2 linked regions of the Macaca fascicularis genome follow. The protein of the gene in region 2 purifies or fractionates together with the protein of the main gene of each other region. This does not show direct contact. Links are inferred from orthologs where the notes say so. Each region holds a gene or a part of one and is shown on either strand. Other genes may lie near its edges.

What was found.
Region 1: the proteins of L3MBTL3 (region 2) and SAMD13 purify together in Homo sapiens (affinity purification with mass spectrometry; 3 studies listed by BioGRID and IntAct, counting the BioPlex papers as one, with this or other methods). This does not show direct contact. The link is inferred for Macaca fascicularis from reciprocal best matches to the Homo sapiens genes L3MBTL3 and SAMD13.

Annotation. Positions count from the first base shown.
Region 1 is NC_088375.1:150,346,405-150,350,756, reverse strand, and holds the start of SAMD13 (sterile alpha motif domain-containing protein 13), read left to right. Parts: upstream 1-1,258; 5' UTR 1,259-1,273; coding exon of another isoform or gene 1,274-1,328; coding exon 1,329-1,362; intron 1,363-2,140; exon of another isoform or gene 2,141-2,242; intron 2,243-2,378; exon of another isoform or gene 2,379-2,461; intron 2,462-3,067; exon of another isoform or gene 3,068-3,149; intron 3,150-3,658; coding exon 3,659-3,743; intron 3,744-4,352.
Region 2 is NC_088378.1:34,057,936-34,061,755, forward strand, and holds part of L3MBTL3 (lethal(3)malignant brain tumor-like protein 3), read left to right. Parts: intron 1-1,922; coding exon 1,923-2,058; intron 2,059-3,820. UniProt on the Homo sapiens protein: Is a negative regulator of Notch target genes expression, required for RBPJ-mediated transcriptional repression. It recruits KDM1A to Notch-responsive elements and promotes KDM1A-mediated H3K4me demethylation.

The sequences.
Region 1 (4,352 bases), on a different chromosome or scaffold from region 2:
ACCACATAGTACACACATTACACATACATACTTTATGCTACACACTACACACACAACTTTTTATCAGCAGAGGATTGATGTCAAACATTTTGTTGGAGGGAGTGTGTGAGTACTAGTGTGTGTATATATATATTATATTCACAAGTGTCAGTTTACTACCAAAGTTAGAAACTAGCTGGTAAGTGAAACCTCCTGTTGTCATAATTTAGAGTGTCTTTGTGGCTCACTTTTTATACCACGGGATTAACTTCCTACAACACTTTCTGAAACTTTACTGTTGTGTAACAGGCAAACTTTTGATCACAGCAGGCCAGATGGGAGGGGATGTCCCTTTGTACATGTAGGAAGAGATGCTTGGAAAAACATCACAGAATCCTTTCTCCTGCGGCTGTGTCTAAGGAAGAGCTGGGTGTAACTACAGTCTCTTTGCCTTTTCCCCCTCAAGAGTGGAGAGCTGAACATGCTTTTGTTCTGAGCAGCACTGTCAGGACAACCCCAGCTTCCCAGGACACAGAACTCCCGGTCCAACTCGCTTCCAATTTGGATTTACTGGGAGAATAGTTAAGGAATTTCAGATCAAGTCCAAAAGCATTATGGAATCTGTTAGTGAAAGAGCTCTTTATCTCGGTAAGAGTCCATCATTTTGAGATCAGCACTGGTGAAAGATCCAGATGCCTGACCTGTGCTCAAAAATAGTGCTCAAAAATATTTAATTGGTTCCTAGATTACTATTGTTTGCCTTTTCAAGGGAGCAATGGCAAATATTTGAAATCTTTCTCGGCAGTGATCTTTAAGGAAGTCGAAAATTTCTAATATAATTCCTGGAATAAGTAAAGGACCAATTTTTGACCTTGAAATTCGGGTTCCAAATTTAGATCAAAGTTGATCTTCTAATGTCCTAAAAGATTATTTTTAAAAAGGGAGGCAGGCAACTTTCTCCTCGGATTCTACCTGAATTCTACAGGATATTACAGCAACAGATAACTTTTCCAAGATCTTTCTGGGAAACCTGTGTTCTGTGTCCTGTTTTGAGTGGTTTTGTTGACCATCTTGACCTAAAAGTGTACAAATGTTGATTGATGTTTATTTCAATGAAGAGGCAACCATGTATGTTTTCTGTGTATGTGCAGAACATTTATGGGATGAGATTATTCCCCTGGAAAAGTGGTTTAAGCCAAGCACGGAAACTGTGAGAATGACTAGGGTAATGTAAACAAAAGATCTTGCCCAGCCTCTCTGCTCCACCTCCCAGTTTTCTGATTTGGTATTTAGGATGATGGCGGGAGAGACTATGAATTTTGGGGTGGACATAATGTCTTTCTACTTATATGCAACTAATACAGTACCGGGTACTCATAGATGGTAAGTGTTGGTTGAATTTCTTGAATTATGCTTTTTGTGCAACTGGGATAAACAGTTAAAATTAAACCTCCCAGAACTAATTGTTTTCATTTTGTAGAATAAGGTTTTGTTTGTTTCAGTCTGAATTTTTGCTGGCTTCATTTGGCAGAATAAATGCCAAAATAAAAGAATGTGGGCGTTTTCAGGAGATCTGGTCATCTATTTTGCATCCTCTCTGAAATATGTTACTTCCTGCATAATGAAGTAAAAGGATTTGCTGCTGGGCAGTGCTTTCCTTATTCTCACAAAGAGATTACTTAAAAGCCAGCCCTGGGAACTTTGTCCACCAATCTCTATTAGGAAAAAAAGAGTAACATGGGACCGCAGCTTCCAAGTGTTCTCTGGTTATAGCCCATAAGCACTGGGTTCTCACTCTTATTTTTCCCTCTGGGGAGAAAACGAAATAGTTTGAAACATGACATTCACGCTCAGAACAACAGCTAAGACCTATCATGCAGCAACAATGAAGGGGAGGGAGAAAATAAGAAGCTATTGAGAGAGCTTGTTTTTCTTTGTACAAGACAGGTGCAGGGAGAATTCTGCAGGTTTTGGACTCCTGGCTCATTCTCTTGCACTAATTGTGCTGAAGGTAGTTAGCAAAAGTGAACAGGCACACTGTAGCTTTAAAAAGTCAGCCATGAACCAGAAGGCAGTTGGTGCAGCTTGTGTGTGATTCCTAACGTCATGTTGGCTGAGAGCCAGCCTGGTTTTATTTCACTGTGTCAAATTGTACCTCCTTATTGAATTCCTTTGCCAGCCTACTTTGTGAAAGAAAACATTGGGGTTTCTTTGGCTGTTCTTGATAAGCCTATAAAAAATGATATTTTTTAGTTGCTTATAGGTAGGTTTTCTTTTTACTCTTCCACAAAAAAAGAAAATAATAGTAATAATAATAAGACAATGTAGTGTGATGTTGCAGAGTATCATTGTGAGTGTTTTGTTTTGTTTTGTTTTCTGAGATGCTTAGAAAATGGTGAATGTGTAACAGTTTCCAACTGAAGTGAAATCATATTCTGTTAGCATGGAGCAGCAGCACTATCTTCCTGTCTACTCTATAACGGTGTGTGAATGTATGCTAATATCTATCTATATATTAAATGTTGGATTTCTCTATCAGTGATCTAAGTGGTTTAGCAACTGGAAGTTTGTGTGTATGTGTGTGTTTCAGGAGTGAAAATTATCCCACACTTACAGTGTTATTTGTTAATCATCTACTTCTCTAACAGTGATAAAATCTTGCGAATATACTAAATGATGCACTTGCCATGTCAGAGTAATCCCTAGAGAAGGAGTGCCGAAGTATAAAGTGATTTGAGTGGAAATGTATTTAATTTATGGCTTCAACTGAATAAGAGCAAACACGTTTCGGGACTGTTGCTTCCGTTTTTTTTTTTTTTTTTTTTTTTTCTTAAAGCAGTTTTGTTCGTAGCTTTTTCATTTTGCTAATTGCATATTAATTGTGGAAGGCTTTTAATTTTTCACAGCCCTCATCCTACTAAACAAAAAGACAGAATGATGGATGCTACAATATCTCCTTAAATGTTCTGATGATTTTTCATAAATCTAATGAGCTACCTACTCTTTCTTACACACACACACACACACACACACACACACACACACACACACACACCCCAGCACCACCTTTCTGTGCTAAGGGCTATCTGGCATTTTTTGTGAGCTTCCTGCTTTACCACAGCATGGCCATCTCACAGACGGGTTTTTGAGGCTTTCGTTGAGAATGTGAGGTAGGGGAATACTTACTGACAAAAGCTTTAAGTGTCCTTCTGCATTGCAATGAAAAAATCTAGGAGCAAGGGGGAGTGGACCAAAAAAACAAATGCAATAAGAAAAAACAAATCACAGCCCATAATGGGAGGGGGGAAGGAAAAGGGGGATTGTTTTTCTCTACTTTGACTCATTTATGAGTTGCAGTGTCTTATGTGAGAGCTAGGCACCCAGGAGAAGCTGTGCCAGTTCACACAGCACTTGTTTTCAACAAGGATTCAATTTCATTTGCAAATGCTTATTGTCAAGGCAGGGAGTGCCAGTACAGATGAAAGCACCCCAATCCGTCTCCTCCAGTTCTTTAGGTTTAATCACATCTCTCCAATCGCCGAGGGAACTGGAGATTTAAACAAACATACGTGAACTGGTGTGAAGCTGTAAAAGGGACCATTATGTTTCCGATTCAGAATATATATTCTTCTCTCACTTTCTAAGAATTAAACACAAGCTTTTCTCCCTTATTGATTAGTTGCTGAAGTAAAGGAACCCTGCAGCCTTCCCATGCTATCTGTTGACATGGAAAACAAGGAAAATGGCTCTGTCGGTGTAAAAAAGTAAGTGAAGCTGGCTTCTGAGTTCTGCTTCTGCAAACAACAGAGGGACTTGGTTTCTATTTTAGTACTTCTTGCTTATCTACTACAATACACAGTTCGGAGGTCGCCTTGGTTTGTCTACATTGGCCAGCAACCTCCCTTCTCCCCCCTACCCCAGTTACCTTTTTCCGTATTCCATTTCTAAGACAGAGATGACTCAGACATCAAAATATATATGAAAGGTTTGTGTATCAGGCTTTGGAACAAGGATGGTTGAGGATTTCAGCCCTGCATTCTGTATATTGAAACAAAAACTCCAAGCAGAGACTCTTCCGTAGACAACACAGAATGAGGGCAGAAAATTGAGTTCGAATTTTTTTTTTTTTTTTTTTTTTGAGATGCAGTCACCTCTAACTCTGAAAACTAAGAGCTATAGTGCAAGAAGGGAAAAAGCTTCAGTAAGAATATAGAATATAGTTTAACAACTTCTCCGTCCTAATTTTATGAACTGTTTAATGAATGTGAAACATTTCAGTGCATACATGGTGTTTATGTTAATGTCTGTTCTCACATTTGAAACTTGTGTTTCTATGTGTTGTGTAAGAGTTATATACTTGATTCTTTTAAATG
Region 2 (3,820 bases):
TGTTGGGGACTAGATTCATGGGAGTGAGGGCTTGAAGTAGAGAGGAAGGGAGCCAGAACGCCAGGGTATTGGATAAGTCATCCGTATGGATGATGAAAGTACTCAGATGGAAAGGAAAAGAATAAGCCAGGGCTAAGTGTTTGGGTGGTTAGCATGGGCGAAGAAGAGGAGGAGAGTTGCTTCAGCCGTGTGGCTTGAGCCTCAGAGGAGAACTGGCCTAGGATCCATGGTGTGGTGGGACGCAGCAACCCCTCCTGTGTCTGCAGGAGGTAGAGTTGGGAACATGAGCAGCCTTGGGGAAAGGCTTGAGAAGGACGAGCTAGGTATGACTGTGGGCAAGGAGGGTGAGGATGTGGGAGATTGTTTCTCAAAGCATAACTTTCCAGTGAGCCTGAGATAGAGACTGTGGGGAGAACAGAGAGAGCTTGGCTCAAGGGAGCAGAAGCTCAGAACTGTGTGCCCACGAGGAACTAGAGGCTGTAAGTTACTGAAGGGCTGAGCTCTTAGGATCGGCCAGAGACAGCTGACTGTGAGTCAGAGGAGAGAAGCAGCCTTCTTTGAATGAGGTGGCTGCAGGGAGTGGCGGTATCTCCTGCCTTTCTTGAGAGATTGTATTTCCCAAGGATTCCAGTCTGAGTTCTATGGAGAGACTGTTCTCTTTGGGGGGAGTCCGCTTAGTTGTAAATTTTATGTATGTGGTGTATCAATACAGTTTAATTGAAAAAATACTCATATAAGAAAATATTAAAAGTCCATCGTTTCCATTTTGCCCTTTACTTTTTACTACCACTTCCTAGAAGAAATCATTATTAACATTTTGGCAAATATTCATCCCGACTTCTTTTTACTGTGTGTTTATGTATATATGCATATGTGTGCATATTAATGTATGTATATAAATGCATATACTTATATATATGTATACACACAATACATATATGTATACATAATCATATACCCATAAATATACATGTGGACCCCCACATGTCTAATTTTCTCATAAACTAACTCATTCTCTGTTATGTGTTCTGCCACTTGAATTTTAGCAATATGTTTTAGAGAACTTGCCATGACAGTAACTGTACAGCTGCCTCACTATTTGAGGATTGATTGTCCTGGCTCTGCACTCTGGTCTAAGTCCATCATTCAGGGTTCTGCAGGACAGATGCTCACGGAGCGGGTAGAGGTCTGGTGTGGTATGTGTTTCTACCTGAACACATCTGCTTGTGTTAGTGGGAAGAAGTCCGAGGGGCTGAACCTTCTCTCTGAAAGCCCAGGGGGAGGGTATGATCCGGCTCAGGTCTCATAAGCCTATATGACCTTCTAACTCAGAATGTCCCTAAGTGGGGCCCTGTAGGCATATGTACGGCATGTGTTATACAGAGTACATTCTTACTAGCATTCTTAGGAGCCTGTCTCATCCAAGTAATAAACCAGGAGAGATGCTTTTCTTTCTTCCTTCCAACCCAGCTTTGGTGGAGAAGAAACGCTTGACTTCTGTGCATATGCGCCAGCTGTGGTCTGCAGCATTCAGTGCAGGGCAGAGCATCCACTTTGGGGCCATGCTAGAGCTGAGTGTGCTGTGCTGGTGTGCCTTCCAGCTTACCTCGGGGACACATCCTGGTACAACGTAGGGAGTGGAGAAAGGACCTGCACTTTTGGGATATTATGCTTTGCCCCCTATCCGTGTGCTCCTAATGTGACTGAGAATGTTGTCAGAATGCCGCAGCTCAGCTCTTCCAAATGTAATAGCTTTTGTCTTTAGATTCTGGATATTTGTTTAGTTGTTTTATTGCTGTTAATGTGGGTGGTTTGATTAACATTAAGACTGTATCATGCCTGGTGTCCATGTTTATTTTTGTATATATATATGAATATTCTGGATCAAAAAAAAATAGTTCAACCTGTTTTACCTGTTTCAGGTTTGTGGATACCGGATAAAGCTTCACTTTGATGGGTATTCTGATTGCTATGACTTCTGGGTGAATGCAGACGCTCTGGATATCCACCCAGTTGGGTGGTGTGAGAAAACTGGCCACAAACTCCATCCTCCAAAAGGTTTTGTCACTTTTTGTTTCATATTTTAAATTCAGTACAAACTCATTTTCTTACATGCTACATTAAAATTGTTAAGAATTCGGACTTCATGAAAATTCAGATAGGCGCAAATTTAACCTTATTGTTCATGATGAAACCACATTTATTAAAGTAAAATAAATAAAAGTGTACTCCAACTTAAGAAAATAAAGTATGTTCATATGCTTATTTTCATGTAAAATAACATTTGCATGATACTCAACTTTGGCTGCAAATAATGTTTACCTGCAAATTTCTGTTATTAAATACATATATCTTTGAAAAAACTGATTTGAAAAATTAGTTTAAATTAGTTTACATAACTAAGTTTAGTGTAAACTGGTTTAAACTAATTTTTCAAATCAGTTTTTCATTATATAGAAAATCCTGAGAAATTATGCATGACCGTTTAGATCTTAATATTTAGGAGATTGGCAAGAAGACTATAACACTAAAAATTGGCTTAGGTGGGGGGTTGAACTCATAGCAATTACTTTTCTTCTATTTGAGTTCTTTATGTTATAGTCCCCCAGTGATCTTCCTATTTCATGTTTACATCAAAGTTCCAGAATAAAAGATATCATCTTTTTCACTGTCTCCCTAAAGTATTCTTTAATTTTTTTTTTTTTGAGATGGAGTCTTGCTCTGTCACCAGATTGGAGTGCTGTGGTGTGATACTGGCTCACTGCAGCCACTGCCTCCCAGGTTCAAGCGATTCTCCTACCTCAGCCTCCCGAGTAGCGGGGATTACAGGCACCTGCCATCATGCCTGGCTAATTTTTGTGTTTTTATTAGAGCAAGAGCTTCACCATGTTGGCCAGGCTGGTCTCAAACTTCTGGCCTCAAGTGATCTGCCCACCTCAGCCTCCCGAAGTGTTGGGATTACAGGTGTAAGCCACCGTGCTCAGCCATATTTAGTAATATCTTATTCCTTTCTTTTTCAGTCATTACATTTATTTTTGTTTATGTCAAAAATTAAGGTTACTAGGTTGATATTTTTGGCCTATCTCAGGACTTCAGTGCATTAGCCATCCCTTTAAGTGAAAAAATAATGGCAGAGTGGTATTTTCAGATAGCTGAAGGATTAAACAAAATCGCATAGAAAAGATGAGGGTGCGAAAGAAAATCTGTAAGCCTTTTCACGAATTGATCTTTTATATATGGTAAATTATTAGCTGTTTTTTTCATGCTGCCTTCTGGACTTTAATGAATGTAAAAGAAAGCATATTCGCAGATAAAATAAGATGCTCAATTTCCTTTTTAAAAGAAATGTTAACTTCAATGAAATTGTAAAAATTAAGGGAGGACATTTCCCTTACTGTAATTTGCCAGCATCCTTACTTCATAAACCTTTAATTGTCCTTTTTGAAGTGATAGGCCAAAAAGATTTTACCTGTTTCATTTCTATTATTTCCAACTTCCCACTTGTTCCTATAAGTTAGTCTTCCCAAAATAGACGAGGTGAGAGAAAAATAAAGAATTTTGACTATTCTAGTTCAGCATCTATACTGCTGAGGAATTCTACCCAAATACTGGTAGAAATACCCTGATAATAAGTGCCCTGGGTATAATACGTATTTGTTTCCTTATTCCTTTTCTTTATATCCATTACCTTTCATTCAGAATTAGAAAATAATAATACAGTTTGTTGAAAATAAATGTCTAAATATACATAGTTATGAATTATGAGTTAAATTTTGTTTAAAAAGTCATTTGATTGATTTTGGTATGTTAGAGATAAAAG